Coturnix japonica: one gene and its partner. The main gene of each other region encodes a partner of the protein of the gene in region 2 in a complex. Links are inferred from orthologs where the notes say so. Each region holds a gene or a part of one and is shown on either strand. Other genes may lie near its edges. The genes, in order: CASP9 and APAF1.

Region 1 (12,342 bases), on a different chromosome or scaffold from region 2:
GGGTTCTGTGCTGGGGCACAGTGTGAGCTGCACCGTGCTGCGGCTGCGGGGACAAATGAGTCACAGCCCCGCAGAGCTGCACGTCGCTTCCTGCAGCCTGAGCAAGGAGAAGTCAAAAGTGCATCATATAGAGCCTGGCTCAGCCCTATAGGCACATATAGGGCTGACCCCTTTGCTGTACGGAGTTGGCGGCATGTTTGGCAGCAAGCTGCTGGGTATCAGTGCCAGAAACCACATTCAATGGGCAGGGAGTGCTGAGGATGCTCCTGGGAACCATTAATGGTTGGATAGAACCAGCTGTGGTTTGGCACAGCAGCCCAAAGTGACAGTGAGGATGTGCCCTGTGTTGAGGATTTACCACCTCCTTACAGGTACGATGCAGGGAAGGATGGTTTCATTGACCTGATGGAGCTGAAACTGATGATGGAGAAGCTGGGAGCGCCACAGACCCACCTGGGCCTGAAGAACATGATCAAGGAGGTGGATGAGGACCTGGACAGCAAGCTGAGCTTCCGCGAGGTGAGCGCAGGGGTTGGGTTGTGGCTTCATCCTTTGGTGAGGAGCTGGATGGCACATCCTGGATGGTGATATCCCACCCCATGCTGCAGTTCCTGCTGATATTCCGCAAGGCAGCAGCGGGTGAGCTGCAGGAGGACAGCGGGCTGCACGCTCTGGCACGGCTCTCCGAGATCGACGTCTCAACAGAGGGCGTGAAGGGAGCCAAGAGCTTCTTCGAGGCCAAGGTAAGTGCTGGGTGGCACAGCAGTGACCGTCGGGCGGTGGGGACATGGCCAACGTGCCACCATACAGCACACAATGGGGTGACAACGTGCCACCATCCCCAGGCACAGGCGGTCACCAAGGGCAGCAGCTTTGAGGAGGAGATCCGTGCAGAGCAGGAGGAGAAGAGGCGGCAGGCGGAGGAGATGAAGCAGCGCAAGGCGGCCTTCAAGGAGCTGCAGTCAGCGTTTGCTCAGTGACTGTGGCATGAGGAAGGAGCCCCACCACGCCATCACCCGTCCCCTGCGTGTCATCGTGCCCACGACTCGTGCCAAGCCGGGGGCAGCAGTCACTGTGCTCGGTGCCACGGAGCAGGCAGGCGCCCAATGTGTTGGGTTGGAGGTGGCCTTGGCTCCCCTTGGGTTTATCATGGTGAAAGATGCCCATAAAGGCCACCGAGGGGAGAGAAGCTTTATTTCTTGTGTGTCCCGTCCTCTAAGCACCCCAAGGGATGGTATCTGATGTGCTGTCCCTCCTGGAGTGGTTGTGCCGATGACTGTGATGTCCCACCGAGGTGTTGTCCCAACAGCTGCTTCCATTCTGCTGTATGGATGTGTTGTTCGCTGTGTCGTTTTCTTTTTCTTTCTTTTTAAATCCCAAATAAATATTATATTTCCTAAGGAAGTGTTGTGCTCACCCGTACCCAGGTGGGGTGGCAAAGTGGGACCCCCATGTCCCTTCATGGCTGGAAACACGGTCAGGGCCACATCTGTGGGGTTGTACATGGGACAAGTGTATCTGTTCCCAAGTGGGCTGTGCTGCTCTGATAAGAAACAGCACAAGGAGGGCACACAGGCTGTGGGATTTGGCCACCTGTCACCAAGGGGAAGGCCACGTGCCCAAGGGCAGGAGGTGGCACAACCAACATATAAGACAGCGGGCTCTTTGGTTCTGCCACATTGAGGAGCCTATAACCATGCTGGGGGCTGTGTGTCTCGCCGTCCTGCTGGGCTACGGTGGGTGAGGGCACGGAGAGGGGGGTGTTGGTGGGGCTGGGGGCTGTGCCCATGCTGATGTCCCCATGCTGGGTGTCACACAGCCTATGGATGTGGGCAGCCAGCGGTGCCACCTCTGTTAGCTCGTGTGGTGGGTGGTGAGGACGCCCGTGCTCACAGCTGGCCATGGCAGGTAGGTCAGGGGGGTCTATGTGCCATGTGGGGTCCATCCCAATGTTGGTGGCATTGGGGACGGGTGGCCACCACGTCGTGACACCGTGTGGCCGTCCAGATCTCACTGCAGTACAGCCGTAATGGTGCCTGGAGCCACACCTGTGGAGGGACCCTCATTGCCCCCAGTTGGGTGCTGACGGCCGCACACTGTATCAGGTAGGGTTGGGGGCAACCCATGGGGGGACAGCACCCCATATGTGTGCCCCACACTGATGGCCATTGGCAGCTCCTCCCTGACGTACCGCGTGGTGCTGGGCGAGCACAACCTGGAAGTGGAGGACGACGGCGCGGTGGTGGCCGAGGTGGAGAAGATCATCGTGCACGAGAAGTGGAACTCCTTCCTCATCATGTAGGGCAGCAAAGGGGGCAGGGAGAGGGGTGGGGGGCAGGGATGGGGATGGTTGGCAGTGTTCTATAAGATTTGGTTGGTGGCTCTCTATGGGGTTTGGTTGGTGGTTCTCTACAGTCTTAGGTTGGTGGCTCTCCATTGGGTTTGGATGGCAGTGACTCTAAAGGATATGGTTGGTGGCACTCCATGGGGTTTGATTGTTGGTGCTCTATAAGGTTTGGCTGGCTGTGTCCTATAGGGTTTTGTCATTGCAGCAATGACATCGCATTGATCAAGTTGTCGCAGCCAGTGCAAAGGAGTGACACCATCCAGGCTGCCTGCCTGCCACCCAATGGGCTGGAGCTGGAGAACGGCTACCCTTGCGAGATCACTGGCTGGGGACGCCTCTCGAGTAAGCAGGGTGACCACAGAGGGAACTGAATGGGGTCAGAATTGGTTATTGGTGCAACTTGAGGCTGTCATTGCAGCTAATGGGCCGCTGGCGGAGGTCCTGCAGCAGGCTCGGCTGCCCGTGGTGGACCACGAGACCTGCTCACAAAGCGACTGGTGGGGCGGCCTGGTGAGGACCTCCATGGTGTGTGCTGGCGGTGACGGCGTCGTCGCGGGATGCAACGTGAGTGATGGGGCTGCTGGCCATCCCCAATGGCTGTGGTGGGGTTGGAAGGATGGAGATGGGGAGCTGTGGGGTGTATGGATGTAACACTGTCTGGGCAGGGGGATTCGGGCGGCCCCCTGAGCTGCCAACGCAATGGCCTGTGGGAGGTGCACGGCATCGTCAGCTTTGGCTCCTCCTGGGGCTGCAACACAGCCAAGAAACCAACAGTGTTCACACGGGTGTCTGCCTACATCGATTGGATCAACGAGGTAAGAGCAGAGCTCTGGGGTTGGGTTCTCCCCGTCCTTCTCCACGTGCAGGTCTGACCACTGTCTCACCCCTTTGTCTTTGGCAGAAAATCAATGAGAACTGAGGATGAGCAGAGCAGGTCACGTATCGTGGTGTGCAATAAAGGGAAACAACTGGCATCGTGTGCCCCTGTGGTTATTTGTGGGGCATAAGGGGGGGCACGTGGCGGAGCCAGGGCCCTTCCACTGGAGTGGGATGAGCCCCCGGGGCTCTGAGCCCACACTCTGTATTTCTTTAATCTTTCCTACATTGGAAAGACTCTTTAATTTACAGTGCGCCAGCAATGTGGGCTGCAATTCGGGTGAAGGACAGGACAGGCATTTGTGCTATTGACAAGACTGACAGAAACATTTACTGCTCCGCGTATTAGAAAAACAGCAGTTGCATAAACATCATTCACTGACTAACTCACAAATAACACCTTCCAAAGGGAAACCAGCTAGCAGCCAAAGTGCTGAATAACTGTACAGAACCTGGGATGTCCTTCCTAGATTACCAAGCCCAACCCTAACCCACCCCCTCCACGTCCCTCAGTGCCACATCTACAGCCAATAAACATTAAAACGTGTCCTAACTTTCTAGTTTGAATGCCCAAAGGTGTTTTCCATCTATATTCTATAGCTCTATATATGGGGTACTGCATACATGAAGGTCATAGTGACAATGCAACAAGGCTGTTTTAGAGCTAACAATATGTATATACTGAAAAAGGACACGAGAGAGAACAGAAGACTGAGTACAAAACAAAAGGGTTTGAATTTGGTTTTTTCCTTTTGATTTTTGTTTCAATCAAACAGAAAAATCTCTTGTTGCACAAATCAGCTATTTCCATTGATTCCATCAATTAATTCCATCAATTAATTCCACTGACTCCTCCAATCCGCTGCAGTCGCACCAGGAAGGAGAGCAAAGCCACAGCACAGCGGGAGGCCCTCACTCCACAATGGGATCACTGGGCCGGCACACTCTGGCAATGGGGATTCCAACACACATCCCTTCCCCTTTCCTATCACTGGGACAGAATCATAGGGGTTGGTCAGGCACCTCTGGAGAGCATCAAGCCCAACCCACCTGCTAAAGCATGTTCCCTACAATAGATTGTCCCTGCAGGTTGGGACAAGGCCAGTCCTCATCTTATGGCTACTTCAGCCCAGTGACAGCACTCACAGCTTGCATTTCTCAGGACAGACCCCTCCACAGCCACCAGGAGCAGCTGGTTCAAGTCACAGCAGGGACAGCTTCCATCCAGCCACAGGGAAACAATCCTCACGTTGATGGGGACCTCGACACCCCCAGCATCATTTGCACAGGAAGAAGAACTTCTTACGTAGGAAGTTGAAACAGCCCGGGATCTGCTTGTACTTCCCCTTGGTGGACACGATGTCTGATACCTAGGAACAGAAGGTGTGCTGCGTGCTCAGTATCACAACCCTTTACAAACTGCCTGCCTACCCTGACAGATGGCACCTCTGATTATTGCCTTCCTTGCTTTCTAACACTACAAAAAAAATAAGGTTTATGAAGAAAAAAAAAGACATTTACCCGAACTAACATGGTTAGCAGGTCTTCAGAACTGGCATAACATTCCAGCACGCTGTCCAGGGTTTCCACATACCATGAGCCACTCACCCTGTCCCTCCAGGACACAAAACCTTCAGAGAAAGGAGAAAATTACTCTTGCAGACAGTCTTGCTGTGTCTGCATCTCACACTGTCTCCAAAAGGTGGTTGCCCCTAGATTTAGTAGCAGACACTGACTACTGGTGGCACAGCAGCTTGGTGGTGTGTTGGCCAAGCATGTTTAGCATCAATTACCTGTGTAAAACGTTTGCCTGGTGCAGTTATCTCACCTGGAAAAGTTGAGTAGGACACCAAGATGTCACCAGGAGTGGGCAAACTGGCGACAGCATCCAGCTCATCCACACTCCCTGATGGAGCCTGGAAAGGAATCGCATCCGACTCTATGGAACCTTGGCAGGTTTCATCTCGGGGTGATTCAAAATCCACCTCGAATCCTTGGTCCTTTTGTTCTGCAAGAGAAGCTCTCACTCACATCTGACACTCTCTGCAGCCATACATCCTCTATTAACAACTGTAGGGGAAAAAGTCCTTCAACAAAGGCCACGCTTTTCTGCTCTCTGATGGTGCTGCTACAGTCAGAGCCATCAGGCTCCCCACTAACCAAGCCCTCCCAACCAACATCTAGAGGTTCCTTCCAACCCAAACCATTGCTAAACACAAGGAACAGGTGAAATGCTCCTGGATGTGGGGCCACTACTGCCCTCCTCCCACCTCACATCCCCCACTCTGCACAACGAAACCACCCGTGCTGCCCTCCTGCAAGATGCTCCTGAAACTCAACCCATGTTAGCAGTAAGAATATGTGGTTGGGAATGCTACAAGACACCTGGATAAAAGGGCAACAGACACAAAAGGAAGAAGGCAAAGCCTAACTGTGTTCTAACCAGCCTGCTCACACCTAACAGCTTATTGGCAACACAAAGATTCACCTCCTCCACAGGCCTGGATGAAGAAGAGTTTGGGTTTTCCTCTCAAACTCGGGCACTGGGACCCATTGAAATAGTTCACAATCTTTTCAATTGGAATGGTTTTGCCATCTGTTCCATAAATCCCTCCAGGAAACTGAATATGGCTTGTCTGGAAGAGGAAAATCCAAGAGCTGTTAACACAGAAGGAAAGACGAGCTCAGAGGGAACCCAGCTCTGCACGAGTGTTCTCTCTCTCTCCCATCACTTTCTAGCATAAAGCTTCCAGATCAAATCTCACTTCCTCATACTTGTATATGCACACTGCAGCAGGGCAAAGGGGTTCCCAGCAGACACTGCAATATCCAAGAATCCAACCTCTCAATAAGATCCAACTCCTGTTCCACCTCCTCCAGTAACGGGATTCTTTATCCTCCAGGACAAGGGGCACACAACATACAACCCTTTTAGAACGATTTATCTCTTCTCCTCCAACCTCAAGGCCAAAATCTCGTAATCATTAGTCTTAGTCGTGGCTAACGACTCCTCAGGCAGAGCCAGAGAATCAGGAAGCACTCAAGTCCTACAGTATGAAGGTCAGCACCACCTCCTTCTGCTCTTTGCACACCACTTGGTTCTGAGGTACAGATCCCACATTCAAAAGCTAACAACGATTGACCAAAGGCCACCAACCCCTGGAAAGGCATTGCAGCAGAGAACCCTGTGTCTGCTTTCACCCAGATACAGGATAAGAATTCCCCATGATGTCAGAGGAGCACAAACCCACCTGGCAGCCATGGGAGAGGATGACCACAAGGCAGCAGTCCAGGGCACTGTGGTCGAGCCGTGCCAGCTTCCGCAGCTCCAGATCAATTTCCTACATAAAAAACATCATGTTTTAAACTGCACACTGGCCACAGATTACAGCCAAGCCCTGCCGTCAGACCCAGTTGGATCTCTGCTGCTTTCTGCCTAGTAAAAATACAATATCAGGCATCCCACATACAGACCACAAAACCCATTGGCACAGAGTAAGACTCACATCATCCCTATGCATCACATCAAGGAATCACAGTTCAGCTCAAGGAGTACCAGGTCCTCCTCCTGCCACCCTCACCTGAGCTTTGAGGTTCCTCAGGGTCTGGACATTGAAGCACAAGGACCTGAAACGCTTCTCCAGCTTCTCACAGTCTATGTCAGAGCCAGCCCGAGGTGACAGATTGGAGTCTGGGCTGAAGCTGACGTTGTTGAAGATCAGGCAGTGCCCACAAGGGTCTGCTCGCAGCTGGTACACCTGGCATGCAACAAGGGGAGCTCATCAGTCCCAACTGAACACCTCCTAACACAGAGCATTCACCATCTAGTGCGGTGGGACGCATACGTCAGATTTAGCATCAACTCCAACACGTTAATTCTGGGAGGGCCCTCCAAACCCCAGCCATGTGAACACAGCCACTCACCCTACCCTGCCTCAGGTACGAGCTGTGCTGTCAGGATGGCAGCACACACGTTTCTGAATGCTCAATGCCTGCTTCACTGTGAGCCTCCTAACGTGCAAAAGCTGCAGCACATGTTTACTGTTGCTTTCCCTACTTCTGTTACCCAACACAGTGATTACAAAGTCAAAACACCACTTGATAAACAACACACGACTTGGTGCCTGAGGAAATCACTAGCTGTCTTACTTGAAAGTGCTTAAGCACCATATTTAGCTCCATGTCATGTTATTTGCAGCACGGTTCGTGTGATCCCAAGGAGGAGCTGACTAATGGATTGACCCACTCTGAGCACACTGCCCTGGTTACAGCCACGTCAGCCCCAGCACCAAGGACTGGATGTCACAGCACTGTTCCCAGCTGCAGCAGCTCTGTGCTGTGGGACTTCTTCAGTCTAAGAAGAAGTTTAAGCCACACTAAGACCTTATTTTGGACATTCTGTTCTTTGCCTCGTGAGGGTGAACACTTAAATATCTTCAGCCTTGCTCTGCCTTTTCAGTTCTTAAAGCACAAGCTCCTTGCAAGCAGAATCTCTGAAATGACTGGCAGCAAAGAACCCCAATACTATGACAAATAAACTGGAAAAGAAGAGGATTTAGAATACTAACCAGTCTGTGGTCGCTCTTGTCAACAGCTGAACCTACAACACACCACAGAGAAATGGGATTTAGCTCTCAGCACTCAACAATGAAATGTTACACCTATTCTTCGCAGAACTAACATCAACCTTGCCCTGTCATCTGTCACACGTGAGTGACACCCACCCCTTCTCACCCCATCACCCACCAGAAGCAGCATTTGGCTCTTATCTCTTAAACCACAAAGAGTCTCAGCAGTTAGAGCCTGGACCTCAAGCACACGCTCATCCCCACCTGGGACACCATACACTATTTAGTTGGGGTCACCTCCCAGCTAGCATGCATCTGAACTGGTCTGCAATTCACAGTGCAAGGACAAGCAAGGAACTGACCAACGAGCTGTCAGACCTCACTCAGGGCTGCAGGACAACCCTTACCCTGGGCTGGTGCTGGAGGCATCCGAAATCTCTCACTCTCAGCTTGGACTGGGATGGACAAGTATTCCGTAGTTCTCACACCTGTAATGGCATGGGAAAGTCATCTCTCTCCTTCTGCCCCTTCTAGTTTTACATTGGAATTAAGCAGCTCTTGTTCCCCTTAAGGACCACAGCTTGCAGCTACACCACTGCAAGGGCAGATCAAAACCACTTCTGTTTTTCTTTTATCTGAGTTCAGTGAGGTTTCTTATGACAGCTGTATGAGCCACGCCAACAGATAAAGGGCAGAACAGGAGTAGCAAAGCCACACTGAAACCTGTTTGCAGTGCAGCAGTACAAAGGCTACATGTGAAAAGCAGAAGGAAGCCGCCAGTGCACAACTGGGGCTTCAACACTTCTGCTACCAGAAAGCACAACATCCTCCTAACAAAGTCACACAGTCACCACTATGACCTGTGCCAGAGGATAACAAAACCAGGACTTCACAGCCTACTTTCTACAGCAAGAAGGAACCCAGCTACTACACTCCACCATGCAAAGAACCACGTTCTCACTACTTACTTTTGTCACGCCTTTCTCCAGGCAGCTCCAGCTGCACAGGCCTCAGATCCACAGGTGGGGACATGGGGCTTCCGCACCCCTCATCCAGCATGTCAGCCAGGTCACCGTGCCCGGTGTCCCTCAGGATGGAGAGGAATATAGGGAAGGCCTGCTTCCCACGGCTCTCCAGGTCAATGACCAGCTGTCGTGCTTGTTCCCTTCGGGTGCCGGCGCTCTGCAGAGGAAGGAAGGCAGGATAAACCTCAGTGATGCTCCCTGAGCCCTTCAGCTCTGATGCTTCCACTGCAGCATTGGCCACAGATAGAGACAGGAGGGAACGTGAACTGCTGGTTCTGGGGGATAAGTGGACCAGGGGATACACCCAGCTTATCAACATGGGGATAAGAGAAACCTTCTCAATCAGTTTAACAGTATCACGGAGGTGGAAACAAAGGGAAGGGCACCAGGCAGATGGACAGTGGAGGAGACAGGGGTATCACAGAATCACAGAATTGTAGGGGTTGGAAGGGAGCTCTAGAGATCATGGAGTCCAACCCCCCTGCCAAAGCAGGCTCCCTACACCACATCACACAGCTTGGCATCCAGGCGGGTCTTAAATATCTCCAGAGAAGGAGACTCCACCACCTCCCTGTGCAGCCTGTTCCAGTGCTCCGTCACCCTCACTGTAAAGAAGTTCTTATTAAGGAACTTCCTATGCTGTATTTCATCCCATTACCCCTAGTCCTGTCCCCACTCATTACTGAAAAGAGACCAGCCTCACCACTATGGCTCCCACACCTCAGGTATTTATAAACCTGAATCAAGTCCACTCTCAGCCTTCTTTTCTCAAGGCTAAACAGACCCAGTTCCCTAAGTCTCTCCTCATAGGGTACCCTGGGCCATGTCATGGGTATAGTGGGGACACAGGACTCCATGGGATACATATGACACTGGGGTTCTGTCACCAGGCTGAGGTAATACAGGGACTAGGTATTACAGGTAATAGGGACACAGGGACCCCCCAGGTGCTGTCACAGGGCTGAGATGATGCTGGATCCCTCAAGGTTTGGGATTGGGGGCACACGGGTCCTTTCAAAGCCTGACAAAGGCCTTGTGGGGGCAGGGGACACCCTTGGGCCTGTAAATGAGCTGATACCCCAAACCCCGTCACTGAGGGGACGAGAGGTTCTGAGGGGACACAAGGCCCCACCACCGACCCGAGAGGCCTCGGTACCCCCAGCCCACCTGCATGTCCTCCACCATCGCGCTGGTGAACACCCCTCGTTCCCGCAGAGGCCCCCATAGCACGTCAGGCCGCAGTCCCTCCACCAGCCGCAGCCGACCCCGCCGCAGTGCGCTCCGCCGGGCCTCCTCCATGGCCGCCACCGGAGGCGGAAGCGTCGCTATGGTGTCGGCGGGCGGGCGGGCCGGATGTGCTGGGTGTGGGGTTGAGGCCGGGGCCGGTGCCCGCCATGGAGCTGGGCCGGGTGGGCCCGGCCGGGATGTTGGTGCTGTTATTGCTGCTGATCACGGCACAGGCCGCACCGGAGCGGGATCCGTACCGAGTGCTGGGTGTGGGCCGCTCCTCCAGCCAGGCCGACATTAAGAAGGCGTACAAGCGGTTGGCACGGCAGTGGTACGGAGCGGGCCGGGCTGGGGGGTGTGGGGGGGTACGGCAATGGGTAACGGCTCCACCTTCCAACTGCAGGCACCCGGACAAGAACAAGGACCCGGGAGCTGAGGATAAGTTCATCCAGATCAGCAAGGCCTACGAGGTGAGAGGGCACTGCAGGGGGCTGGGAGGGGGATGAGGGCATTGCTGTGGGAGCTGGGGTGTATTAGGATGGGGAAGGGGAGGCTCAGGGTAGAGCTCATTGCTCCCTATAACCCCTGAATAGAGGATGTGGTGAGCTGGGGTTGGCCTCTGCTCACAGGTGACAGCAATAGGATGGTGCAGGTTGGATGCTGGTACTTACTGCATTCATCCCAAGGGCATTGGAATCTCCTTCTCTGGAGATATTCAAGACCCGCCTGGACGCCGAGCTGTGTGATGTGGTGTAGGGAACCTGCTTTGGCAGGGGGGTTGGACTCGATGATCTCTAGAGGTCCCTTCCAACCCCTACAGTTCTGTGATTCTGTGATTGCAGTGGGTTTGTATTCCCACATCCATTCCTTAAGGGATAACCACTGTCACCCTTTCACTCTTTGCACTGGGTTACCTTTCTTCACTCATTTCCTTCCTAGATTCTCTCCAACGAGGAAAAAAGAGCAAACTTTGATCGCTACGGAGATGCCGGAGAGAGCCAAGGCTATTCCCAACACCAGCAGCGCCAGTTCCACCACTTCCATGAGGGTTTCTACTTTGATGAGTCCTTCTTCCACTTCCCCTTCAATTCAGAGAGACGTGACACCTCAGACGAGAAGTATTTGCTCCATTTTTCACATTACATCAATGAAATCGTGCCAGATAGTTTCAAGAAGCCGTACCTCATTAAAATCACCTCGGATTGGTGCTTCAGCTGCATCCACATCGAGCCCGTGTGGAAGGAAGTTGCTCAGGAACTGGAGGCACTGGGTAAGGATGAAGCATTGGGGCTGAGCATGAATTTCCTTGCAGAATGAGGTTCTGGTCCATAGAAGGACTCAGAGTTTAGGTCACAAGGTTAACACTCTCTTGTGTGTTAGTAAGAACTAAATCAGTGAGGCTAAGCATTATAAACAAGGCTTTCCTTCTGACTCACAGTTTCAGCTCCTGGTGGTTTCACTGTTGTTCACCCCCAAGGTTAAAAGAGGAAGATGCCTTTCCTCCTTAATTTTAGTCCAGCAGCCATGGTAATAAATAACCACATGATTGAAGGCTGGTGTGTAAATCCTGTATGGCTCTGTCCTGAACTTGGAACAAGCAGAATACAGCACCTAAGTCACCACCATACAGGGCTGTAAGGGAAGTCTGGGGACTTGTCAACCATACTGGAAATATATTGGGGTGCCAACAAGAAAGCTGGGAATGGAGAGAGCAAGTGGATGTTTTGTTTTTCATGCTGGTGTCTTTTGCATGCAAAAAACCCCACAGCAGGACACAGAGGTGGTCCAGTCCCTCCTTACCATGCTCTTTCTCCTTTGGGTTTTACTGTAGCACATATGACATCGGTGGGTAGAACAAAAGAGGCCATCACGTTCCCTCTCTCCCTTGATAAAGCTCTCAGTACAAGTTCCAAGGGACTGCAGCGCAAGGAAAGTACAGAGCTGGGAAGGATTGTGACATATATAAATAACTCCCAAGTGTGGTACTGGGTAAGGGGTCTTAAAACTCAGCTGTCTGATCCAGGTTTGGGGGTCATCTGTCATCTTCTTGCTCTCCTTTTACAGGAGTGGGCATTGGGGTCGTTCATGCTGGGTATGAGAGGCGCCTGGCCCATCACCTCGGTGCTCACAGCACGCCGTCGATACTGGGACTGATGAATGGGAAGATAACCTTCTTCCACAGCGCCGTCATTCGAGAAAACCTGAGGCAGTTTGTGGAGAACCTGCTGCCAGGGAACCTCGTAGAAAAGGTACAGAGAGGGGAGTGCAGCAATCTGGTTGCTGTCTGATTCGAATAGAT
Region 2 (11,715 bases):
AGGCAACTGCCGTGCAGTGAAAACTGAAGTACATACTAAAGTATAAATGACCAGGACATTCACTTCAAAGTGCATTCCTTGATGAGCTAAAATGCTACACACACAATGATGCTTCTCTACAGCCAATCAACCTTGCCAAGAAGGAGTGCTTATTAACTTGAGACTATGTCAGTGCAACCTTCTTGCAAGTATCTGTGTTCAGCTCTGTATTGGACTAGGTAGACACAGCAGCCCACTCAAGTGTTTCAGTTCTATTCCCTTACACAGTACAGACAAGTCCATAGCTGGCCAGTGCTGAATTGCATCCCAAACTCACATGATCAGGACTGTTGAGTTATTCTCAAAGAAAATTAGTATTTCTTTTCATCCATCTGAAAAGAGTTGGTTCTATCATGTACTGCATTAGAACTCCATAATATTCACTATTCTATGGAATATAAATAATGGCCTACAGATTCTACAGCCCCTTTTCTCCATCTGGTGCTTTAATTTGCTGCATCCCACTTGAGGACATCCAGACAAAAAACAGTAACTTCTTATTTACGGTTTCTTTGCAACAAGTTACTTGATATTGTAACACTTGCAAATTAGATAAATAGGATAGCAGAAATCAAAGCAGCAGTAGAATCAAGGATGCCAACTTACCCTAATGCAACATAAAATCAATTCAAAATGCATGGAACAAAGATGGTTCCATATTCAGGATATACAGTGGTCATTGACTGAGTTTACGTTAGGTATAATAGAAAAAATGTTTTTAACTTATTTTTACAAATAGGTACAATATGACCCTTTAAAATATCTTCCAAACCTGTATGACTGCATCATGAGCACTTGAAATCAGAGTCTGACAATCAGTGGTAAATCGACAATGCTGCACAGATGTCCTGTAGGCCTCCCGGGATGCCAGAAATCTCCCATCTAACAACTGCAGTACCTTTACAAAGAAAAATGCAGTAATTGAATTTATTTTACATATTTTAGGGAAAGGAAGTTCAAATTCTCAACACAAATTCTCTTTAAATACGAAGAGACTGTAAATACACCATTTTCAATCAATGGACTGAGTTTTGTGTCCAGTTCTGGGCTACCTGGTAAAAAAACGACAGGGATCTCCTGGAAAGAGTCCAGTGGAGGGCCACAAAGATGATAAAGGGCCTGGAGCATCTCCCCTATAAGGAAAGGCTGGGTGATCTGGGTCTGTCCAGCCTTGAGAAAGAAGACTCAAAGGAGATCTGATGAATGTCTATAAATATCTAAGGTGTGGGAGGCAAAGGGATGAGACTCTTTTCAGCAGTGTGTGGTGATAGAACAAGGGGAAATGGCCACAAACTGAAGCATAGGAAGTTCTGCACAAATGTGTCTAAGAACTTCTTCACAGTAATGGTGACGGCACACTGGAACAGGTTACTCAGGGAGGCTGTGGAGTCTCCTCTGGAGAGACACCTGCCTTGATGTCAAATTGTGCAACCTGGTCTAGGGAGGCCGCATTGCAGGGGTGCTGAACTCAATGAACTCTAGGGATCCCTTCCAGTTCCTATAATTCTGTCATTCTGTGATGGTGACAACAAATATCAGTCCTTGGTGAAATGAAATGCAAAACTGCATTGTAAGCATTACCTTTAAACTACCATCATTTCAGTGTCACTCAAACATAAAAATTTTTTAGTACCATACCAAAGAATATTATTGGAGAGAATAACTAAAATGACATTTCTTTAAAAAGAAAGGTTGATTCCTATTATTTTCAAGATCAAGCTTAGGATTTAATACCTTTATTGCTCCATTCTCCTGCCCAAATGCTGCAAATTTAAGATCTTCACTTAAGCAACAGCAGCAAATAAGGGATTCCTGAGGTTCTGTCTGCATGATAATGCTGTCTGTATTTCCATTAATGAGCTGCAAGATAGGAAATTAATTAACATAATATTTTAAAATTTGAACTGAAATAAAATAGAATAAAAAGCTAGGAACAGCAACAGAAGAGTTTGTCAGTTTCTAAACTTTTGTTTATCTAGACCAGATACTTTCACAAATCAGTTGCTTTAAAGGTCTGCGTAACTCCTGCTGTAGATCATTGTCTGAACAGGACAAGATTGCAGACAGAAACACAGCTCAGTCTCAGAAGGCTTTTAAAAGTTTGCATGATCAAATAAAACAGTAAGTCAACAAGTTATTCCTGAATTTCAAAAGCCATATAGTGAGTTCTGAGCTCAAAACTACTTGCCAGTGAGATACTTGTGCCAAATGGAGCGTAAGCATGACTTAAAGCTTAAAAGCAGGTATAGCCCACCAATCTCAACCAAGTGTTGTCCTTACACCAATTCTGATGAGATCTTTAGAATATAACGATTTACAAAAAATCTATAAGCTAAAAATATCTACCAGTGTGATGCATTTAAAATGATTGTAAAGCACATCAAAAGGTGACTAGGAATGCATTTCTGAGAGACTACAGATCACTAAAGGTTAAACATCACAGTCACAGGAGAAACTACCTTTAGAGATATGACAGCAGACACAGTTGAATTACTGTACACATGCTTAACTACAGTTTGACTCTTCAGTCAATTTCTCTTCATGAGCAAAGGTGAAAAATCTATTCTGTTATGAGGCAGAGCTCCTAGATTTAAAATCTTACAACATATTAAGAATCATCTGCTACAGATTCAACTGCTGAAAGTCACGAATAGGCAGTTATTTCAGTGCTTTGTTTCCTACTGAGATTTACATATAAATTCAAATATATTAACACATGGAGAAATATAGCTTACCTGAATATGTTTCTGATTGTAAATTGCTAAAATCATGACTTCACCATTGTGAAATACAACATCCAGTTCACTTTTTAGCACAGCATCAGAAGACTTGCACACCTTGTTTGTTTCCCAAATCTGTTGAAGAACAGTGTTCCATTAGTTTTAAAGGACAAGATATAAAACTTGCTGAGTACCTTTAAACCAAAGTCTTATAACCTAGCAAATAACCCCTATCTTAAAACAGTGCCCTTTTTATTTACTACAGAAAGTTGCGCAATTGCTATAGCAATTTCAACTGATGGAAAAAAATAATTCTTTTTCCAGGCTGCCAAGCAGACCTCTAAGTATTTGGCATCAGGACCATGAAGTCCACACTTTTCTGTTTCAAAGAAGAGTGTTAAAATTCTATTACAGTAAATGCCAAGTATAGATTTCTATACTTCAATTGCTTTCAAAATATCAAGAAAGTAAGTGTTAGCTTGGAGAGAAGGAAATGTTACTTTGGTACATTGTAGGTCTGTTTTCGTAGTTGTATCGTCTCATTAAAAACTATAAGAATCTGCCCTAAATATTAACATATTTATCTATTTATTATCTAACAGTGAAAGGCATATTAACTCTGCTAGTTTACAAAAGGACCATCAAAACTGTTCCCATTTTTAATTTAGATAAAATCTAAAAACTATCATTACTACTGAAATGCCACTGGATTTAAAAAATTATTTATCTATATCGTAAACCAAAAAAAATAGACAGTTCATTTTACTGTATAGAGAATTATTTTTGTATGTTTATATAATACAAAGCTAAATACTTATAACTGAAATGATAAATGCTTTATATTATTATATATGAATATTTAACTTTATAACAACAATTTAAACAAATAATTTAGCTTTATAAACACATATAAACAGTACCAGCTTTAAAAAAAAAAGTCATCTTACCCGTATTGTCTGGTCCTCAGAAGATGTCAGAAATAAAGATCCATCTGAGGAAAATGCCACACAGTGAACCCAGCTCATGTGTCCCCTGCAATCTGCTACTTTTGATAAGGATTTCATATTCCATAACTGCAGCAGAAATAGGAAAGAACTCAAGTGGATTTTGATTATATTTCAAGCAAAACTGAAAAGAAGCATACTTCATTACTACCTCTACTAGCATTTTCCTCACTTCTCACTCTACAACTGTCATGTAAAAAGAACTGTGCCTGTTGATGACAATTTGATGGTCAGTGACATGGAAACAGAAGCTTCTGACAACAATAAGTTTAAAAGATGTGGGAGGAATTACAAAAAAAACAACTCACACATTATGAAAATACAAGTGAGCTGACCAAGTAGGTTGCAAAAAGAGAAAACAAAGAAGAACAGAAAACCCAAATACTTGTACATGCTTAGTTAGTCATGATAGTCCCAAAGTTATTTCAGCTGTTGTATTCCTCTTTCATGAACTGCCACATCCTGCAGCAGCACACAGGAGAAGGTATTTTGTTTGCCTGTTTTGAGCTAGGTGATGGGAAGGCATATACTCTAGAGACTGACAATAATCACATGATAACTTTGAACACATACAGTGGCCTAGTGGTTTTATATAAAACCGAGTTCTGCTTTCTAAGAGGAATGCCTAATCTCAAAACACTATTTCCCAATTCCTATTTTACATCTTAGAAGTAAACAATAATTGTAAAGAATAAAGCACATTGAAAAGCTATTAAAAATGCCACTTTGTTTTACCTCTCCGTACACAAAACCACAACAAACATAACACTTTGTATTACTCTTTCCTGGTATATCGTAGCAATAAAGAAATCACTTACCTCAATAGAACAATGAGACAAAGCAACTGCTACTAACTCATCCCCAGCACAGAAGTCGCAATACTGGATTGTACTGTGATGACTTATGATGACTTGTGTTAACAGGTTACATGTTGTAACATCAAAAAGCTGTGAAAGTAATTATAATATTGAGCACAGGGCTGGAATGACTTCACCACAGACACAGTTTATATACTTAACAGTATACATTTTTTAATGTAGAAGGTATTTCTCTCATTCATCATGTTTATCATCTATATATTTTTTAATAAACATGCACTTAAAAACAAGCACTTTATGTCTGAAACATCTAGGTAGTTTATAATGCAGTAATTATTCATAAATTCTACCTAGATGGCAACATACTACACCTGTAGAGAATTATTAACATGAAATACTTACCAAAAGCTTATTTTTGGCTACCACCAGAATTGTATCACTACTTCTGGACCAAGAGCAACATTTTACTAAAACCTCCACTTCATCCTGGTGCTCATCTGCATTCCTGAAGAAATCTTTTATCTCAATAGTTTTCAGTTCATTTGCTGAACGCACATCCCAAAGCTTCAAGAAAAAAATAAAGGAAATACATGAAACTTCTCTTTACAGTTGAGTATACGGTTGGACTTGATAATCTTTGTGATAATCTTTGAGGTCTTTTCCAACCTGAGTAATTCTATGATTCTATACAGAATACAACAGGGGAGAACCACTTCCCAATTTCTTTTTAGGGAAGAAAGTGAGGAAAACAAGAAACAAGCAAGCCCAGATGGTTGTCTTAACTTCTACTTAAAAACAGACTAAAGGCAAAAATAACATCTCTGCAACTCTATTAAGTCCTCTCACAACAAGAAACCTGGTACACTGGATACAAGTTTGTACCCCTATTTCATTGAGGCAGCTGCCAGAGAGCTACTGAATATTTCTGTTTCCTCTACCAAAATTTTTCTTCTGAATGACAACAGATACTACAACCTCACTTTACTGACATAGCAGCCCCATGGAAAGGTATCAGCGTTTATGAATTGCAGTATTGAAATAGGTAGTTCTGTTGCAGTCAAAGGCAATAAAAAGCAATGCTTGTGTTCTAAGGACAAACATAACTACCTCAGTACACAAATATCTTTTATTGCTTATTCAATATCAGATGACAGACATTTTAACTATTCTAGGTTTTTTTTGGCTGTCGTTTTCATTATTATTTTTCTTTAAACAAATTTCAGAACACCTTCCACACCAGTTCTCTTAACTATATACTTTATTTTTATTACTATTAATAGTAGAATGCACTCAAAATGAGACTCAGTGGGATTGGTTTAAAATTGCAGCCACTCAATTCTTCTTCTGGAACTGGACAGAACTTCATCAAGCCTTGCATTAAGAGTGGGAACAATACTCAACTGCTTCAGAGTTTAATTCATGAAAACTGACCACACAAATACAAAATTATCTCACCCATATTTTGTATTTTATACCCCCAAAAAATCATCCAAACAGGCAGTTGATTTAAAAAAATAAGATGTGTACCTTCACTGTTCCATCTGTTGAGCAGCTAGCAATATAGTCATCATTTGGTGAAAATCTACAGTGACTGACGGCGTTTATATGACCAAACATTGTATTCCTACAATACTTCTCCTTCAGATCCCAAAGCTGCATGAGAAATAAATATGTAAATGTCATTAAATTCATAAATTATTCACAGACAGATTGTACATGTTCTTCACAAAATCACAGCGGCAACCAAATTCTCAAAAATGTTTCTTAGTTTTACCCACGTGCTCACAGACTTGAAGCTATGCCTGAGGTTCCCCCACAAATTACTTCCATATGCTAGTTTGCATGAAAATGATTCCCATGACTATTATATAACACTTTCTGTAAAGTGAATGCAAGAACCTCAAATAGCACAAAGTTACCAAAGGCTTCTTCAGAGTGAGGATTAAACTTTGTCTAGCCTCTTTCCTTCCTTTCAGTCTCAAAGTTCAGAATTACGTAGCTTGTACACAGTAACTAAAATGAAATCTCTTAACTCAGTGTTGGATTACTGTGTCCTCTCTAATAAAGATAAAAGAACAATTTGTGCGTTAGAGGCCACACACAGACACACGCACTTTCTAGGCCTACAGCACATACTGCCTTTTTGCTACCAAACCTTTCACTTGTCTGCTCAGGGAGAATTCAAAGCAGGAACAGTTACCTGAACAGTGTTCTCTTTAAAAAAAAGAAAAAAATAAATAGAAATCCAGCCTCTCTGATTTTTATTTTACTGTTCTTTTCTATTACTGGACATACTTGTGCTGTGAAATTCCACCCTTACCCACAGCCAGGTCTTCCTTTGTTCTTCCACTTCCTCTCCTTCCGCAGACACTTCACTTACATGGCTTCTGCTCTGAGTAGACATACTGCCTCATAGTCTGAGTACTGCCAGATTGCTGACCTGACAAATCTTTTGCTTTGATTTACTGTTATTCTGTTGGCACCTACTTTCATTTCTTTATTATGTCAAATCAATTTAATAAGAAAATATATCTGCTCCCCTTCCATTAGGTTATTTATTTATTCATTTCATCATTTGGCACCTATTTTTGTATTGTTTGTGGCTGTTGTTTGTTTGTTTTTATTTCTTTACGGTTTTTAATCAGGTATTCCATTCCCAGGCTCTCCCATTCCTATTCCCATCCTCTAGAAGTCTTCACCTTTGTGCTCAGCTAATAGGAAATATGCTGACTTTTCATCGCAAGTATAAATATTCCTCTTCCGTTCTGCCCTGTCAGTACTCTTGATCAGTTTCTGTCTCTCTTCCACTGGACTCATTATAAACCTTAATTTACAGAGTTTGAAGCATATTTCTACAACAGTAATTACTCTGTTTTGATTATTCCCATACTGCTTATCACAGCCTTTTCAACTTACTTTGATGTAAGTGTCATCTGAGCAGGTGGCTAAAAGATACTGACCCCTTCTGTTATTGAACTGGCAGCAATTGACCTGCTCTGTGTGTTCTTCATATACGTACAAACACTCGCCTGTTCTTGAATTCCAGATCTAAACAGAGTTGAAGGACAAAAATCAGCTTTAAATAAATTCAATGTACTTAATAAAAAATGAAATTTCTAAATCACGTTGGAATACAAATAAAGCCCTAAAAATGCTCTTAATAACACATAAAAATGCTTGAAGAGAAAGGGAAAACACATGTAGTTACATTTATTAACACACAGCTGTGATTTTAGATTGTTTTCACTAAAATAGCAGAGATGTAGATATACACATTTTTCAAAACAAGAACTGGAACCTGGCATCTACAGCCAAAGGTTCTTATAACAAGGTGTCTGCAACCAAATAAAACCAACTTGCTCTTGTCAAAATTCAGTTTCAGCCTACTATTAATTATAGAAAATTTCACAGATAATTTTGAACAATTTAAATATCAAATGGATGAGGAGGATCATAGTTTAGATCTGAGAAAGATTAGAATATCATCAAGATTTTTGGTGCAGTTCTGAAGAATTAAAAATAAAATGAAAAATAATATACAACAGAAAGCACTATATAAGAAAAACATTTATGGATACCTTCATTTTATGTTACACACAGGACTGGACTCATGTATTGTGTTTTACATAAAAAGAAACATCTGATAGTACAAGTAAAATAAGTTGTAATTGTGTATGCATGTTGTTAACATAAGTAAATGATGCTTAACATAACAAGTATGAGATCTTTTGTTTTTAAAGTAGTGAATTATCCACATAAGGTTTAAAACAGTTACTAAAAACCTTCTGTCCTAAGAATCTGCTCTGCCTGAGTTGGCTAAAACTGAAATCTGAATTATGATGATGCAAAACAAATAAGCAAAAAAGTCTCTTCTCCATTTACTTACCTTCACCTTTTTATCAGCTGAACAAGTTGCTACGTATTTATCATCTGCAGAAAAAGTGCAGCAAAGTATTTCATCATCATGAGCACTTATCTCCAGCAATCTCTCTCCACTTTCTGCTTTAAACACCTGAAAAAATACAATGAGGAATGAAATCTTTTAGCTGGCATACAACTTCAAAACATGCTACACAAATAAAGGATTGCTTTCTCTCAAAGAGCTCCCTTAGCTAAACTCTTCATAAAACTGCTTGCATTCTGAAAGCACGTATAATTTCAAGGAAAGTAATATGAAAACATTTAATTTGAACTTCAAATCTATAGAGATGATAGAAATTATTATGGAAAGAAATAGTGAAAACTAATTTAAAAAAAATCCGTATGCATTATGTGTTTTATTAATGACTATGTATAACCTTTGAGCCAAAAGCTAGGCCTTCTACCACATAAGACTTTTGTACTCCTTAAGACTAAATACATGTACTTTCTTACTCTACTTTAATAACTTCACCACACAATAGCTTATTAACAATATCTGCACTGTTATTAGAAGTACAAATTCCAGATTGATATATACGATATCCTTCTGTTGGATAAAGGATTTTAGCAGCAATTGATAATTAAGTAAAGGTGCTAGGAGTCTCTTTTGAGCTGGTTACAAGGCAGGAAAGGGTGGCAAGGAAGAAGCACTGCACATTAACCACTTTCCTTAAATTCTGGGGCTTATCTTAATGATGGTGAAAGGTACCTTTTCCAGCTCAAGGGTAAACAATCTTCAGCTGTTCTAACAAATCACAATTTGCTCTTTGCAGCAACATTCAAGATGCTACAGTCGTGAAATCCCTATTTTTCCGATCTTCTTTCATTAAATGGGATTAACAGTGATAATGAAATAGTTGGTATTTGTTCAAATAAAAGCGACAAAGCAAAAGGAAATCTACATCTACTGTAAATTCTGCAGAATATCTGCTCTTAATTTGGCAGTCATTTCTGCTTCTGGGTTAGTCTAAAATCTGAAGGCATTAGTTTTATTTTAATGTCACTGTTAGGAAAAACAAGATTAAGATCAAAGTTCAACAATGAAAAATGATTGTTAATTTTTGTATTATCTCTTCTAGCGTAGGCTCTGGGGAAAAAATAAAAAAATAAAATAAAATAAATAAAATAAAATAAAATCCCTTTTTTTGATAGAAAGTCAAGAGAAAAACAATGAATCAGCAGTCCCAATAATGAAGCCATGAAGTACAGAAGCCCAGCACAATAACTTCAGCACAGCCACCAAGCATCTCCTTAAGTGGGTGGATGCCATGACCATAACAGTGTAAAAGCCAGCAAATAAAAGAAAGTAGTAAGCACCACCACATTACACAGGCAAATGAACAGCAACTAAGGACCACTAATACTTTTACTTTAGCAAGCATCCAAAACAATACCAAAGGCTTGCAGAAAACTTGTTCTTTACCCTTACCTTTGGCTGTCTGGAATATGGATACTTTACCAGGTTAGTGGCTGGCTGATTGCTAGTTTTCCTGAGAGCTGTCTGGCTTCCCTCCAGGCAGACTGCTGGCAAATTTGTATTAGTCACTTCCTCTCTCTCTCCCCATATTCACTTCCTAACAACTGAATACCTTTTTCCAGTCTACCGCTGCCCTCAGCTTTCAGGACTCATTTTTCTGCCCAGATTTCTCTATTTTGCATGACAAAATTAACAAACATAGCGCCAAACATCCATTAAAACCCCATGGAAATTGTAAAGAACTAACAAACATGTCTCACTGTTTTTTAGTACTGTAGATGGGAAATACCATTTCTGCAAACAAATGTGAAACGTGGGACGCACTACTTAAACCTTATGCTTTTTTGTAACATTAAAAGGAATCTCATGTTCTCGTGTTCATAGCATGTTCTCATGCTATGGTATAATGATATAGTTATTGAACTACAAAACAATACTTTCGAGCCTAAAAGTGTTATGTAACACCCTTTCTATCTCTTGTCTCTTGAATATAATTCAAGATTTCTAATATCTTCACAGCAAAAGGAAAGCAAGAGCATCATTAACAAACATCATCAAAACTTCACACAGCATTATACTTTGCTGATGCATAGGTAGGTACTTTTACCTGAAGTGTTTTATCAGCTCCACATGATGCTATTCTTTGTCTATCCCTAGAAAAGCAGGCATGGTAAACTGCATCTCTATGTGGACGAACAACCAGACGGGACAGGTTTTTCAAGGATTTTTTATTTCTGCAGGAGAAGATAGTTCATTTGTGAGGAGTAGGATCTCCCAGCATCTTTAATCATTCAAAATGCTCTTTAAAATATAGCATTTGTTCATCTATTTTGTGCAGCAAGCTTTTGAAACATCAAATTATCTGTCAGCCTTCATGAAAAATAAGGGAAACCAATTCCTAAGTTCACTGAGAATTTATGGTGCTCTCCAACAGCTGAGAGCTTAGAAACCAAGAAAGATACAATGTGCATAAGAAACCAACGTGCCACCTCATGTGCACAGCCACTGTAAAGCAAAACAGTCTTCCTAATAACATCTTAATGAGCTGGTATCTGTCATGTCCAAACAGACTTCTTTCTGAAGCTGTGATCTCCTATGTGCTCTCTTTCAAGTTTGCATCATGCACATTATATTTGCCCTACAATTCTCATCTTTCTAAAAAATTATAAAGTTTCAAAATACCGCATTTTCACCTTTGTGTAGATATTTAAAATGAATGTTCACTGAGAAGTAAATATATTTCTTCATTTCTATGAAATTATTACTAATTTGTAGCTTTACATGTTTGTTTTTTCTTTCATTAGCTCCTGAAAATTAGTTCACTTTCTTTTCCCGTTAAAAACATAGCACATTTTTATTACCCACTGCGGTGTTTAGTTGCGTATGCAACAATTTTGTTGAATCAAGGGATAAACATCAGCAAATGGATTATTGCTACTTACATCCATTCCAAGTAAAATGTTCCCGTTTCTCTTTGAGCCCGTAGCTTGGCTTGTTGATACACCTCAGATGCCTCTGGTTGGCAAAGACCCAGCTGTGTAATGTCAGGAAAAGGCTGTCGTCCAAGGAGGTGCCCATTTAAAGACAGAAATTCCTGAAAATTCTCACGTATTATGGTATCCTATGTACAGAGCAGACAGTGTTTGATAATTAGTGAAGTGGATACATTTTCTAAGTGCCCTTTGCTTTTTAATTTTCTATACAGGCAGTATTCTTGCAGAAGCATTTAGTTCTCC

The links.
Region 1: the proteins of APAF1 (region 2) and CASP9 are in contact, whole or in part, in a crystal structure (PDB 4RHW), measured with the Homo sapiens proteins. The link is inferred for Coturnix japonica from reciprocal best matches to the Homo sapiens genes APAF1 and CASP9. Residues at the interface, in NP_863651.1 of Homo sapiens: Thr22, Ser23, Tyr24, Met26, Asp27, Ile30, Ser31, Ile37, Glu40, Glu41, Arg44; in NP_001220.2 of Homo sapiens: Asp23, Trp26, Asp27, Leu30, Arg36, Pro37, His38, Glu41, Gln44, Arg45.

What each region holds. Positions count from the first base shown.
Region 1 is NC_029536.1:4,282,313-4,294,654, reverse strand, and holds CASP9 (caspase-9), read right to left. Parts: upstream 10,157-12,342; 5' UTR 10,116-10,156; coding exon 9,984-10,115; intron 8,974-9,983; coding exon 8,760-8,973; intron 8,280-8,759; coding exon 8,199-8,279; intron 7,824-8,198; coding exon 7,792-7,823; intron 6,982-7,791; coding exon 6,805-6,981; intron 6,565-6,804; coding exon 6,475-6,564; intron 5,860-6,474; coding exon 5,712-5,859; intron 5,232-5,711; coding exon 5,052-5,231; intron 4,855-5,051; coding exon 4,745-4,854; intron 4,594-4,744; coding exon 4,501-4,593; 3' UTR 3,530-4,500; downstream 1-3,529. Other genes in the region: EFHD2 (EF-hand domain-containing protein D2), read left to right, coding at 372-519, 609-743, 846-980; DNAJC16 (dnaJ homolog subfamily C member 16), read left to right, coding at 10,211-10,374, 10,447-10,513, 10,983-11,313, 12,108-12,292. UniProt on the Homo sapiens protein: Involved in the activation cascade of caspases responsible for apoptosis execution. Binding of caspase-9 to Apaf-1 leads to activation of the protease which then cleaves and activates effector caspases caspase-3 (CASP3) or caspase-7 (CASP7).
Region 2 is NC_029516.1:42,519,912-42,531,626, reverse strand, and holds part of APAF1 (apoptotic protease-activating factor 1), read right to left. Parts: intron 11,601-11,715; coding exon 11,422-11,600; intron 10,714-11,421; coding exon 10,587-10,713; intron 10,024-10,586; coding exon of another isoform or gene 9,958-10,023; exon of another isoform or gene 9,932-9,957; intron 8,594-9,931; coding exon 8,468-8,593; intron 7,630-8,467; coding exon 7,498-7,629; intron 6,235-7,497; coding exon 6,109-6,234; intron 5,146-6,108; coding exon 4,984-5,145; intron 4,711-4,983; coding exon 4,582-4,710; intron 3,833-4,581; coding exon 3,707-3,832; intron 2,895-3,706; coding exon 2,775-2,894; intron 1,900-2,774; coding exon 1,774-1,899; intron 938-1,773; coding exon 812-937; intron 1-811. UniProt on the Homo sapiens protein: Oligomeric Apaf-1 mediates the cytochrome c-dependent autocatalytic activation of pro-caspase-9 (Apaf-3), leading to the activation of caspase-3 and apoptosis. This activation requires ATP. Isoform 6 is less effective in inducing apoptosis.